Linked DNA regions of Rattus norvegicus. The protein of the gene in region 1 binds, or shares a complex with, the protein of each later gene. Links are inferred from orthologs where the notes say so. Each region holds a gene or a part of one and is shown in the gene's direction. Other genes may lie near its edges.

Evidence for each region.
Region 2: Kansl1 (region 1) and Kansl2 share a complex: the UniProt entries of both Homo sapiens proteins name them as parts of the NSL complex. The link is inferred for Rattus norvegicus from reciprocal best matches to the Homo sapiens genes KANSL1 and KANSL2.
Region 3: Kansl1 (region 1) and Phf20 share a complex: the UniProt entries of both Homo sapiens proteins name them as parts of the NSL complex. The link is inferred for Rattus norvegicus from reciprocal best matches to the Homo sapiens genes KANSL1 and PHF20.

The regions. Positions count from the first base shown.
Region 1 is NC_086028.1:89,739,488-89,743,133, reverse strand, and holds part of Kansl1 (KAT8 regulatory NSL complex subunit 1), read left to right. Parts: intron 1-1,096; coding exon 1,097-1,218; intron 1,219-2,325; coding exon 2,326-2,383; intron 2,384-2,599; coding exon 2,600-2,712; intron 2,713-3,257; coding exon 3,258-3,510; intron 3,511-3,646. UniProt on the Homo sapiens protein: Non-catalytic component of the NSL histone acetyltransferase complex, a multiprotein complex that mediates histone H4 acetylation at 'Lys-5'- and 'Lys-8' (H4K5ac and H4K8ac) at transcription start sites and promotes transcription initiation.
Region 2 is NC_086025.1:131,561,881-131,566,278, reverse strand, and holds the start of Kansl2 (KAT8 regulatory NSL complex subunit 2), read left to right. Parts: upstream 1-1,525; 5' UTR 1,526-1,891; intron 1,892-2,101; 5' UTR 2,102-2,109; coding exon 2,110-2,360; intron 2,361-4,301; coding exon 4,302-4,398. UniProt on the Homo sapiens protein: Non-catalytic component of the NSL histone acetyltransferase complex, a multiprotein complex that mediates histone H4 acetylation at 'Lys-5'- and 'Lys-8' (H4K5ac and H4K8ac) at transcription start sites and promotes transcription initiation.
Region 3 is NC_086021.1:165,260,741-165,264,386, forward strand, and holds part of Phf20 (PHD finger protein 20), read left to right. Parts: intron 1-182; coding exon 183-361; intron 362-2,790; coding exon 2,791-2,890; intron 2,891-3,646. UniProt on the Homo sapiens protein: Methyllysine-binding protein, component of the MOF histone acetyltransferase protein complex.

The DNA.
Region 1 (3,646 bases):
GTTTTCAGACACACCAGAAGAAGGCAACAGATCCCATTACAGATGGTTGTGAGCCACCATGTGGTTGCTGGGATTTGAACTCAGGACCTCTGGAAGAGCAGTCGGTGCTCTTAACCACTGAGCCATCTCTCCAGCCCCATTCTATTTTGTTTTTAAGACAGGGTCTTTCTATGTAGATCTAGCTGTCCTAGAACTTTCTGTCTAAACCAGGCTAACCTTGAACTCACAAAGATCTGTCTAGACCCCCTCCCCCCCAAGTGCTGGCATTAAAGATGTACAGCACTGTGCCTGGCTTTATTCATTCTTGGTGTCCTATCTATCATAGATGCCCAACTCTGCTGGACTCTTGAAACCATTATTTCCCAAAGATTTAATATTCTTACTTACTCTGGAGACATGTCCTTTTGGGGTGGGGGTGGAAGCTATAGACAGGTTCTTCTTTTCAGTTTCCTTCCACTCTTCTCTTTCCCCAAATAATAGAAAGATGAGAATTGTGTAAGGGATGAGAAGGTGGTGGTACAGACTTAGCTGAGGAGTTGAGATCCTCAAGAGGAAGGTGTTTTCATGGCAGCTAAGGTAAGATAGTTTGTTAAGGCCAGCCTTACTCTTTGAACCTCTTTTCTGGTAAAAGAATTCAGTGCTTTTAATCTAACTAGTCACCATTGTTCCAAGAGCAGCTCTTAACCACAGAGCCATCTCTCCGGCTCTGGAACAAGGATTTTCGATGTTAAGATGGAATGTTAAAGCCGGGCAGAGGCAGGCGCTCCTCTGTTAGAGGTGAGCCTGGTCTCTAGAGTGAGCTCCAGACAACTAGGGCTTTGTAGAGAAACCCTGTCTCAAATACAAACGACAAAAAAAGGAATGTTAGGAGAATGAAGTAATAGGAACTCCCACCTATTTAAAGTGGCTTAAAATTTAGGATACCTACCTATAAAAATAAAGGAGAATAATCAGGAAGAGTGCCATGTGAATGGGATTTACTCCCTGGGGCTCCCACTGCTACCCAAGGACCTGTGTGCATGGTCATTCTGTCATATGACTGCTTTTAAATTTGTAGCATTGTACCTCCCTTGAAACTTAAACTTTTGTCTTACAGCAGCCAGTGAGGAGAAGAAGGGGAGAGAGCTCATTTGATATTAACAACATCGTCATCCCAATGTCTGTTGCTGCAACAACTCGTGTTGAGAAACTACAATACAAAGAAATCCTTACTCCAAGGTATAAAGAAGCATTATTTAATCAGCTCCTCTTCCTCTCTTCCTGTTTTGTTCTATATTTCCTTTCTCTCAGGCCAAGCAGGTCCCTATCCTTAAATTGTTTTTGTTTTTGTTTTTGTTTTTTTTTTTAAAGAAGGGCCTGGGGCCAGGAATGATGGTCCATCTGATTCCCCAGAGTGCACTGTGGGCTATAGATCTAGACTTTGTTTCCAAAAACAATAAAGTGGGGGGGGGGGGTGTCAAAAGGCATGGTTGGTACCTCACATCTGTAATTCCAGACATTAGGAGGCTGCAGCAGTTCAAGGCCAGCCTACATTACAGAATGAGACTTGGGTGTTTTTGTTTTGGGGAGTGGTTGGGAGGGATTGTTGTTTTCATTGGACGTTTCTTGCATGGATGGTGTACACTTAGACTCTCAGCAGTTGGGATACTGAGGATGATGGCCATGGAGTTTGCTCCCCACTTGGGCTACAGAGAGAGAGAGAGGGAGGGAGGGAGGGAGGGAGAGAGAGAGAGAGAGAGGGAGGGAGGGAGGGAGGGAGAGAGAGAGAGAGAACACGAGAACGACTGTTTCAAAAAAAGCAGGAGGAGCAAATAGCGGGTAGAGGAGGGGTACCTGATGGGAGTAAAGTTATTTCTGTTGGCTTCTTTTATTCCATTGTGTGACTCCACCAACCCAAAAGTCAGACCTGGCAGGCCGCTCACACTGTGTGTTTTAAATACTAAATATGTTGTCTCAGCATCAAACCAGATTTCTGAAAATGTTTATTTCATTTATAAACCTCTATAGCAAGGTTCCAAAGATTATATTCTGTATGATATTATCAACTAATATTAAATACTGTTTGTTTGAAATTGAGTTTGGGGACTGGGGATTTGGCTCAGTGGCAGAGCGCTTGCCTAGGAAGCGCAAGGCCCTGGGTTCGGTCCCTAGCTCCGAAAAAAAGAACCAAAAAAAAAAAAAAAAAAATTGAGTTTGACAGTCTTATCAGCCTCACCTCTAACAGTTTGCTGCTTCTGGGTTTCTGTTTCTGGCCTTTGTGGGTATTTGCATGTGGGGGTAGCCTGCCTACAATCCTGTAATTTTTTTTTTTCTTCCTGTTTGCAGCTGGCGAGAGGTTGATCTTCAGTCTCTGAAGGGGAGTCCTGATGAAGAGAATGAGGAGGTAATACTATGTTTATACTGTCTTGGAGGAGCATGTACACCCACCCCAACCCTGTGTCCATATACTCAGTGCCTTTAGGCGTATCAAATGCAAGCTTGTCCTATTCTGTTTGACTGACAGCATCTCCAATGGAACGAGACTGATTCTAGAATTATTCTGCTGATTTATAACCTCAGCTTCCTGGGGAAAGAGATTGACAAAACTGCTTTGTTGTAGATTGAGGACCTATCTGATGCAGCCTTTGCCGCCCTGCATGCCAAATGTGAGGAGATGGAAAGGGCACGGTGGCTGTGGACCACAAGTGTGCCACCCCAGCGTCGGGGCAGCAGGTAATGAATGGGCAGGCATGGGTTCCCAGTCTTTATTGAGAGCAGGAGGATGGTAGACACGGAAAGATTAAAGGCCTCCTACTGGTTGTCATGGTGATTTAGCCAGAGGAGTTTAGAAGGACTCAAAAGTTGATTTTCTTGATGGGGACTGGTCTTGCAATCTTAACTTTAGATGGCTCACTGGGTTAGAAGTGCTTGCCCTGCAAGTCTCATGGACCATTTCCTTAAAGAGTGGTAGGGGACCACCTATTTTTCTTTGACTTGTTTTCAAAACCAGAACTAGTCCCTATTGTAAATTCACTAGGCAGAGCTGATAGTTGCTCGTGGCTCTTAGATGTCATGTTCTAGACCTTCCTATGTGGGTAAAAGGGAGAAGCAAGTATAGTCGATGGATCTTAAAAGAGTACCATTGCTGTCAGCTCGTATTAACTGCTTTGGTTTAGATGCTTTTTTAAAAATAACTCTTCTTACTGCCCCTGCCCCCAGAAAGAAGCTAAGTGCCTTTGACCATGTCCTTACTTACTTGTGTATTTCTTGGCTCATAGGTCTTACAGGTCATCAGACGGCCGGACCACCCCTCAGTTGGGCAGTGCCAACCCCTCCACGCCACAGCCTGCCTCCCCTGATGTCAGTAGTAGCCACTCTCTGTCTGAGTTCTCCCATGGTCAATCTCCTAGGAGTCCCATTAGCCCAGAACTGCACTCAGCCCCCCTCACCCCTGTGGCTCGGGACAGTCTGCGACACTTGGCCAGTGAAGACACCCGATGCTCCACACCGGAGCTGGGGCTAGATGAACAGGTGAGGAGGTGTCTCCTTTGAATGGAGGGAGAGCAAGACATGAGGTAGAATTGGGGGGGGGGGGCTGTGCCAAAGATAGAGCTCTACTCTCCATTGTTTTGCAATGCAGCGTGGTTGGTCATTGTTTCTAGGGTAC
Region 2 (4,398 bases), on another chromosome or scaffold:
TGTATACATTTTATAGTCTGGCTATCAGTTTGATATCTTGCTGTCAAGGATGTTTCTCAATCTGTATTTATCCATCCCATCAATAAACGTTAATGATAAAATACTTGATTGTCGTTTTGCATGTTCCATGTCCTTAAACCAGTCTTTAACTGTTTGTTAAATCGTTCCCACTCTGCCTTTGTGTAATAGTATTAGGTTCCTATCACACAATACGCTATGGATGTTGAATCTGCTAGAAAGACCTGAGATTCAACAGTGAACCTGGTGGGTAAAGTAGCTTGTAGGCAGGGGAAACATTCATGCTGTACTGTTGCAGGAGTGCCTGAAGAGTTAAAAATAGCTTAGCTATATAGTAGGCTAAGCCATTCACTTGGCAAGCAAGCATCAAGACACAGCTGAACCTTTGGTACACAGTATGTTTTTATTCAAGACAGTTTCACTGTGTAGCCATCTGGCCTCAAACTGCATCCTCTTGCTACATCAAGATCTTGAGTTCTGAGAAACATAACTGGCATGGACTACCATGTCTGGCATGTATTTTGAAGAAAAGTTACACTTTTTGATAATGTGGAAAAGTTGTGAATGCTACATAAGGTAGATCTTACAAATTACACAAAGGAAAAGACCCTCTATGCACAACTACTTCAAACTTCAGGGGTACAGTACTTTGAAAACATTAAAAGGAGGGTTGGAGAGATGGCTCAAGTGGTCGGGAGTGCTGACTGCTCTTCTAGAGATCTTGAATTCAATTCCCAGCAACCACGTGGTGGCTCACAACGCTCTGTAATGGGGTCCAATGCCCTCTTCTGGTGTGGTGTGTCTGAAGACAGTGACAGTGTACTCACTCACATACATTAAATAAATAAACCTTAAAAAAAAAATCACGAAAACGGAATAGCCTGCTGTTTCTATAATACACTATCCAGCAGGGGAGTTAGAGGATTTGAGAGAAGCATGTCCTACTCTCAAATTTGATTTTCCGTCACTATATCCGTAAATAATGTCTACCTAAGAGAAAAATAGCGTCTACCTTTTAGGGCTGCTCTGCAAAAATTAATTAGTACATATGAGTCTCGAGACAGGAAAAAGAAGAGTTGGAGTGTTTACATGAAAGGACCAAAAAAATGAGCTGAACTGTTCACAATAGAAAACTAACAAAACCTTTTCATGTGTAAACAGAAAACACGGTCAGTCACCGTTCAGTTTTCTGCTGTGTAGGGATGGTAAAGAGGTAGCTGCTTGGGAAGACTGGAGACCACCGCCACCAGAAAACCAACGGTACAGAGATGGAAAAAAATATCTGAACCCAGCGAGGAGCTGTGGCCCGCCTTTCCCACCGCCCACTCACGGGCCGAGTTTCTGACAGACACTTCACATCAGCCAATCGCGTTGCGGAGTCTCACTGTCCCGCCCTCCTCGGGTCTAGTGTTGATTCTGACCAATAAAGGTACAGCAGCCTTAATACAACGACCAATCAGCGCTTAGGAGCCGCAGGGCCGAGTTCCGTGCAGGCGGAGCAGCCAGAGGGCGAGCTGCGCGGCGCAGCGCGGCGGGGAGGTAAGATGGCGCCGTGCCGGGCTCTTCTCCTTTGCCGTTAGGCTGCTGCTCGCCCTTTCTATCAACTCAGCGCGGTACGTCGTCTCCTGCAGCGTCAGAGTCATTCTGATTGTTGGGCTTTCGGGAGCCAGGTTCTCTGGTGCCGGGAGCCGTAGGACAAGATGGCGCTCGCAGGACGACGGCGTAGGCGCTTGGGCCGGGGCTGTGAGCTCTGAGGCGGCCAGGGACAAAGGCGGCGTGCCGGGGCGTGGGGGCGGGGCGCGCCGTTGCAGTTGTGCCGCGTGGGACAGGCGCCGCGCTTCCGGTCGGCTACTGTGGAGACTCGGCCAACGTGGTAGGGACCAGAGAAGCGAGCGGGCGGGCGGGCGGGTAGGCGGGTAGGGAGAAGGCGGGGGTGGGTGGGTTAGTAACGGAAGGTTGGAGGGCGGCGGGAGTTACGGTGCAACCCTCGTCCTGCGGCCCGCCGACCTGCGGGAGCACGTAGACAAGGACTTCTGGCAAGGTTAAGGCCATTTTGATCTTTCCCGTGACCACCTACCCGCAGGTTTTGGTATGAACAGGATTCGGATTCACGTCTTGCCAACGAATCGGGGGAGGATCACCCCAGTGCCCAGATCTCAGGAGCCCCTCTCTTGTTCGTTCACTCACCGCCCATGCTCTCAGCCGCGTCTGGAGGGGCAGGAGTTTTGTCTTAAGCATATTCTTGAAGACAAGAATGCACCCTTCAAACAATGTAGTTACATTTCGACGAAGAATGGGAAGAGGTGCCCCAGTGCTGCCCCAAAGCCTGAGAAGAAAGATGGGTATGTGTAGAGCGCGTGGGTATGTTGTGCCTTGGGGCTCTGAGAGTCGTTCCTTAATTTTCAATGCTGAGGATTGAACCCTGGGTCTGGTTCACGTAAAGCACAGGTTGCATCACCGAGCCTATTTTTACTATAGTTTGAAGCATTTATCTCCGGTTTGTAGTTTGATTTGTGTGTGCAGGGACACGTGGGGAGGTCAGTGGCCGATTTGTTGGAGTCGGTTCTAATGCCTCTTGGTATGGTGAATAGGAGGACGTTAGGCTCGGCTCGCAGAGTCATGGACGCCCCCACCTCCCTTTTGAGACAGTCTATATTCCCGGAACTTCTCCTCATGCGGACAAGACTGGCTTGGAACAGTTTTGGCAACCTTTTACGGTTTTTAAATTTTTTTTCCGTGTATGGGTGTTTTGCCTGCTTGTATGTTTGTACCATGTTCATGCTTGAGGAGGAGAGGGCGGTGGATCTCCAGGAACTGGATGGAGTTACAGAATGTTGGTGCGTCACCATGCCTGTCCCCTGCCTTCAGTTTTAAAGTGAAAAGAGGAACATGTGTAGTTATTTTATGTTGGTCATATCTGTGAAGTTTTAGGTCATGTGTTTGTAAAATTGGAATTAAAGGATACATTCTTTGGGAGGCATGTCAAAATACGAAAATGATCAGAACTGATGCTAGGCGGTGGTGGTGCAGGCCTTTAATCCTAGTGCTTGGGAGGCTGACTTGGGGTGATCTAGGAGTTCAGGCAAACCTAGGCTACAGGGTTGAATTCCAGAATAGACAGGGCTAAACAAAACCCTGTCTTAACCCTCCTACCCAACTCCGCCAATGATGAGAACTTGAAGGACACTTGAGGCACTGCTGAGGAAGGGGCATTTAGTTAATTGCTTACTTGTAAAATTAACATTTGAGTTCTCACTGTGGTCAGAGTAATTTTGAACCCCTAATTCTCCTGCCTCAGCTTCTGGAGTTCTCAGATTATTCCCATACTCAGATCTAAATTCTTCCTTAAACATTTATTCCGTGGATTCACGTGCTGCCAAACATGTGTGGTCAGAGGACAACCCTCTGGAGTTGGTTTTCCTGCTGTGTGGGGTGGTGATGGAACTTGGGTGGTCCGGCCTTGGTGGTAGGTGCTTTTGTTTGCTGAGTCACTGAACTGATGGCACTTCATGTTGGAGTGCTGACTCACTTGCCAAACCTTGTTAAGTAAAAGGCACACTCACTATATGTATGTGTGTTTTGGAAGGAGCTTCATAGTTTTTTATCATATGTACTTACCTGTGCAAACATAGGACTTTACTAGATAATTTTTTATAGATCTTCTTGCTTTAGAATTGTCTGTCTATAGTGGATTGATATTAATATGTGTTTGCAGAATTTATTTTGAAAAAAATACAAGCAGCTCTGATTTTCTGAGATACTGCTAACATTTTTATAGCTGGAATGGATTTGATAACTAGAACAGTGGGTAAGCTACTTGTCGCTCCCTTTGAGAGCAGCTACTATGAGCCAGGGAGGCAGCATGAGTTAGAGCTTTCCCTGCCTGGAGCTCTGGGCCTGACTGAACAGCACACATGCCACGCCACGCCACGCCACGCCACGCCACGCCCCCACCACACCTCACCAAGGACCCCAAATGGCTTACTTGAGGGCAGTTATATTTTTGATTCACATTGCTGCCTGACCCACAACCCCACAACAGGGTCTATTTAACCCTGGCTGTCCTGGAACTGTGTATACCAGGCTGACCTTGAACTCACAGATCCACCTCTGCCTCTAAAGTGCTGGGATTAAAGGCGTGAGTCACCATGCCTGGGTTTCATACTGCTCTTCAAGGTGTGACTATAAGTCATATTTCCTAAAGAAAAAAATCAACTGGTGACTGAATATTGCTGGTTCTTTCAAGAGAGGGCCTATTAAATATTAATGCTTTGTCTCCTTAGGGTGTCTTTCTGTGCTGAACATGCTCGAAGGAATGCCCTAGCACTTCATGCTCAAATGAAGAAGAGTAACCCAGGCCCTATGGGTGAAACCCTCTTG
Region 3 (3,646 bases), on another chromosome or scaffold:
AAATGGGGACATTAGTTCAGCCCTGGTCAGGCAGCATGCATCAGTTGAGCTGTTCTAATAAGCATAAAGCTGAAAACTGAGTCCTGTTTCCAGGCCCATGGAAGTCCCTGGACAAGTGGGGATGAAACACAATGTTACGTGTGAGTTTAGAGCACTGACTGTTGGCTTCCCTTTCCTTCCAGAGGAGGATAATTTGAGCGAGTCCTCTTCCGAGAGCTTTCTTTGGAGTGATGAGGAATACGGTCAAGATGTTGATGTGACCACCAACCCAGATGAGGAGCTTGAAGGCGACGACCGCTATGACTTTGAGGTGGTCCGATGCATCTGTGGAGTGCAGGAGGAAAATGACTTTATGATTCAGGCAAGTAGAGTTTCCAGAACACAGGTTAGAGGAAGACATGAGTGAGTCATGTGAGCAGTTCGCACAGCATTAGACTGAGCTTGCTTTTGGGTTCAGATTTCTGGGAATTCTAGGTTGCTGAAAATAACCCATTATAGAATGAGAAGTCATTGAGGCCAAAGGGAAAGCCTTGCCTGTGGTCTCACAGAGAGGAGTTGGACAACAGGGACTCAGACTGTAGAGTGGTAATTCAGTCTTCTTTATGGGCTCATCTTCTCTTTGAGATAAATTTCCCTGGTGTCCTGAGGGAAGAAATGGAGTCAGGTTTTATAATTTGTCTTCCTCTGTTATTTGGTGTGTGTGTATGTATGTGTGTGTGTATGTATGTGTGTGTATGTGAGCATGCATGTGTGCTGGCAGCAGGTGTTCCCAATGAAGGGATTTGGCAGCCTACCTACCATACATCTCTGCATAGGCTATATGTATTAGGAAGAGCAGGCTTTTTTGGCTTTTTGCTTTCCTTGTTTTATATGCATGATAACAAAATTTGAAGTTGACTTAAATTTGAAGTTGCATTTATGTCTTTTGTCCTTTTTTTTTTTTTTTAAGGGCAGAGTCTCTGTCTTAGTTACTTTTCTGTTGCTATGATAAAATATCCTCACAAAAGCAACTTAAGGGAGAAGTTACTGTAGCCCACAGTTCTAGATGGACATAGAATGGTGTGGTGGCAGGGGCATGAAGCCAGCTCCTCCTGTCTCAGTGTCGAGAAGAAGAGTGGAACTAATTCATACCTGCATGCCACACTTAGCTTACTTCTTTACTCTGGCAAGGTTTAGCATCCCCTGCCCAGGAATGGTACCACCTATAATGGGGGTCTCCCTCTCACGCTATCCAAAACAATCCTGAATAAACAGACTCATAAACTAACCTGATCTAGACAATCCCTAAATGAGAGACTCTTCACCGTGATTCTAGATTCAAGCTAATGAAACTAACCAGTCTCACTTGGCCCCATTTCTTCTCAAACATGCTGTATTTTCTGTTTTGTCTCCTAAATGCTGAGGTTACAGGCACAGGCTACCATGCTGTCTCTGCTTCCTGGGTGTAGATCTGTGTGGCTTCTTCTAGAACTTCAGACGCTTTGTTCTTTAAGCACCTTATGCATGCTTATTTTGGTGTGGAGTGAGGGCTGTGACTTCAGTTTACTGGCAGTGTGCTCACATTTTGAAATGTTGCTTGATTTACTGCCTTTCTCTGTACATTCGGGTCTCTTTCTGGATCCTCTCTTTTTCAGTGAAGCAGAGGCGGAAGAACACAACAATGCTGTGTGATTATTTTATGCCTTTGTAATAGTCTAATTCCCTGGCAGGGCTGGCCCCCTCCCTCTCATCTTTCCTCTCTGCATATATTTTCTGTCTACTAATTTTAGAGTCCTGCTTAGTTTCAGAGCTACCAACTTCCTTATTTTTGGGGGCCACAATGTTTTATAAGCCCAAGTAAAGTTAGTGTCTTCAAGGTAGTGATCCTTTCTGCTTCCTGACCCTGGCAGGTCTCCCAGGACCAGGAAAGAGGGGGTTGAGCGCAGGCTTTGCAGGAACTCTTGCACTTGGCTAAGTTCACGCTGTCTCATGTGCCATTAATCACCTGTGCAACCTTCAGCAAGTTTTAAGAATAAATGCAGAGAACTAGGGCGTGATTGCTCTAGGAGGCCAGAGGGACTTAGCTACCATCTGTTAATAATAGAAACTCAGTGTGAGGCTTTGTGCTGAGTTCATAGTGGGAGGATGTGCATATGACCCATGGATTCCTAACAGACAGCCTGTGGTGTGGGCAGGAACAGTATCGCATCTCCACTTGGGGAAACTGAGGCCTAGGGCTGAGACCTGGAACTGTGCCATGTAACACATAATGTATTCTAAGAGTTTGAACAGGTTTCATTAAGCCCCACAAAGTGATCATGAGGCTGAGCGGCAGGAATGGCAGCAATCAGTCTGAAGTCAGTACTATTCAACTGATTACATTTTTGCTCCATGTTTTGTTTTTGAGACAGGTTCTGAAGTATTCCAGGCTGGCTCTGGTCTCATTGTGTAACTGAGTCTGGCTGAGCCTATCCTCATGCCTCTGCCTTTCAGGTTCTGGGATCATAGACATATTCCACCACACTTGACCATCTAGATTCTCTTTATTGTGCTCTATTCTGTTCCAGAGACAATAGTCATACGGACACTTCTGAAATGGCTCTTGGGACTGAAGAACTAAGGACTCTTAACTTAATTTGTTCGTTATGCGTCACCCTCCATGTGATCAGTGGTGGCCTAGTTGGGTCATTGTGTAGCCATAGCTTTGTTGAGTAGAGGTCAGAAGGGAGCGCTCCCCCCATTTCCTTTCACCCACACTCCAGGTCAGTGGGCTCTACTTTCTAAGTTCTGTTGCTTCTTTAATTCTCACAGTGTGAAGAATGCCAGTGCTGGCAGCACGGGGTCTGCATGGGATTACTGGAAGAAAATGTGCCCGAGAAATACACCTGCTACGTTTGCCAAGACCCTCCAGGTAGAGCTTTCTGGAGCTGGGTTGGGAGCAGTATGTAACCTCTTCCTTAGCACAGCAACTTTCCACACACCGTGCTTGTACTCTCGGAGAATCTTCGCTAATGACCAGGTGACTCTGCTCACCTTTGTTGCAAGCCCACGTGGTGGCCTGTCCTTCTGAACGTAGCAGTAAGGGATATGTGTGAAGATGCTTACCTAGCAGAAGGCCTGGTCTTGGAATGTAGTGGGAAACACATATGGTGTTGTTAACGAGAAGCACAAAGCTTGTAGGTCTGATCAAAACTGTCCACAGTGTTGAATGCTCCACGAATTCTCCTGTCATTCTTGCTCAGGGCCTTGCCAATCTTTTGTTCCAGTTTCAGTAGTGAGAGAGTTTCTTCCTTGAGAGCTGAGGATGAGTGTGTGGCTCTGTTGGTGGCATTGCAGGGATGTCCGAGGGCACGTGTTTGCCATTGCACTCACGAGTGACTCGAGTGAATGCATCGGGTTGGAGGGTGCTGTCTCCTGAGCCTTTGGAGCAGGAAGTGCTGCCGAGTCCCTGAGCTCATGCTTCCTGTCCTTTCCAAGGAGGCTTGTGATGGGCAGGGCCCAGGAATCACCCAGGTCATCTGTTATTTGACAGATGGGAAGCAGGGTCCAGCGAAGGGAGGGCCTGTCACCTGACTAGCTGGGGCAGGCAGTACTGTTGGAAGGGGCTTGGAGCCTTATACTTGCTCTGTGTCCCTTTGACACATGATGTCAGGCTCTGGGACCACAG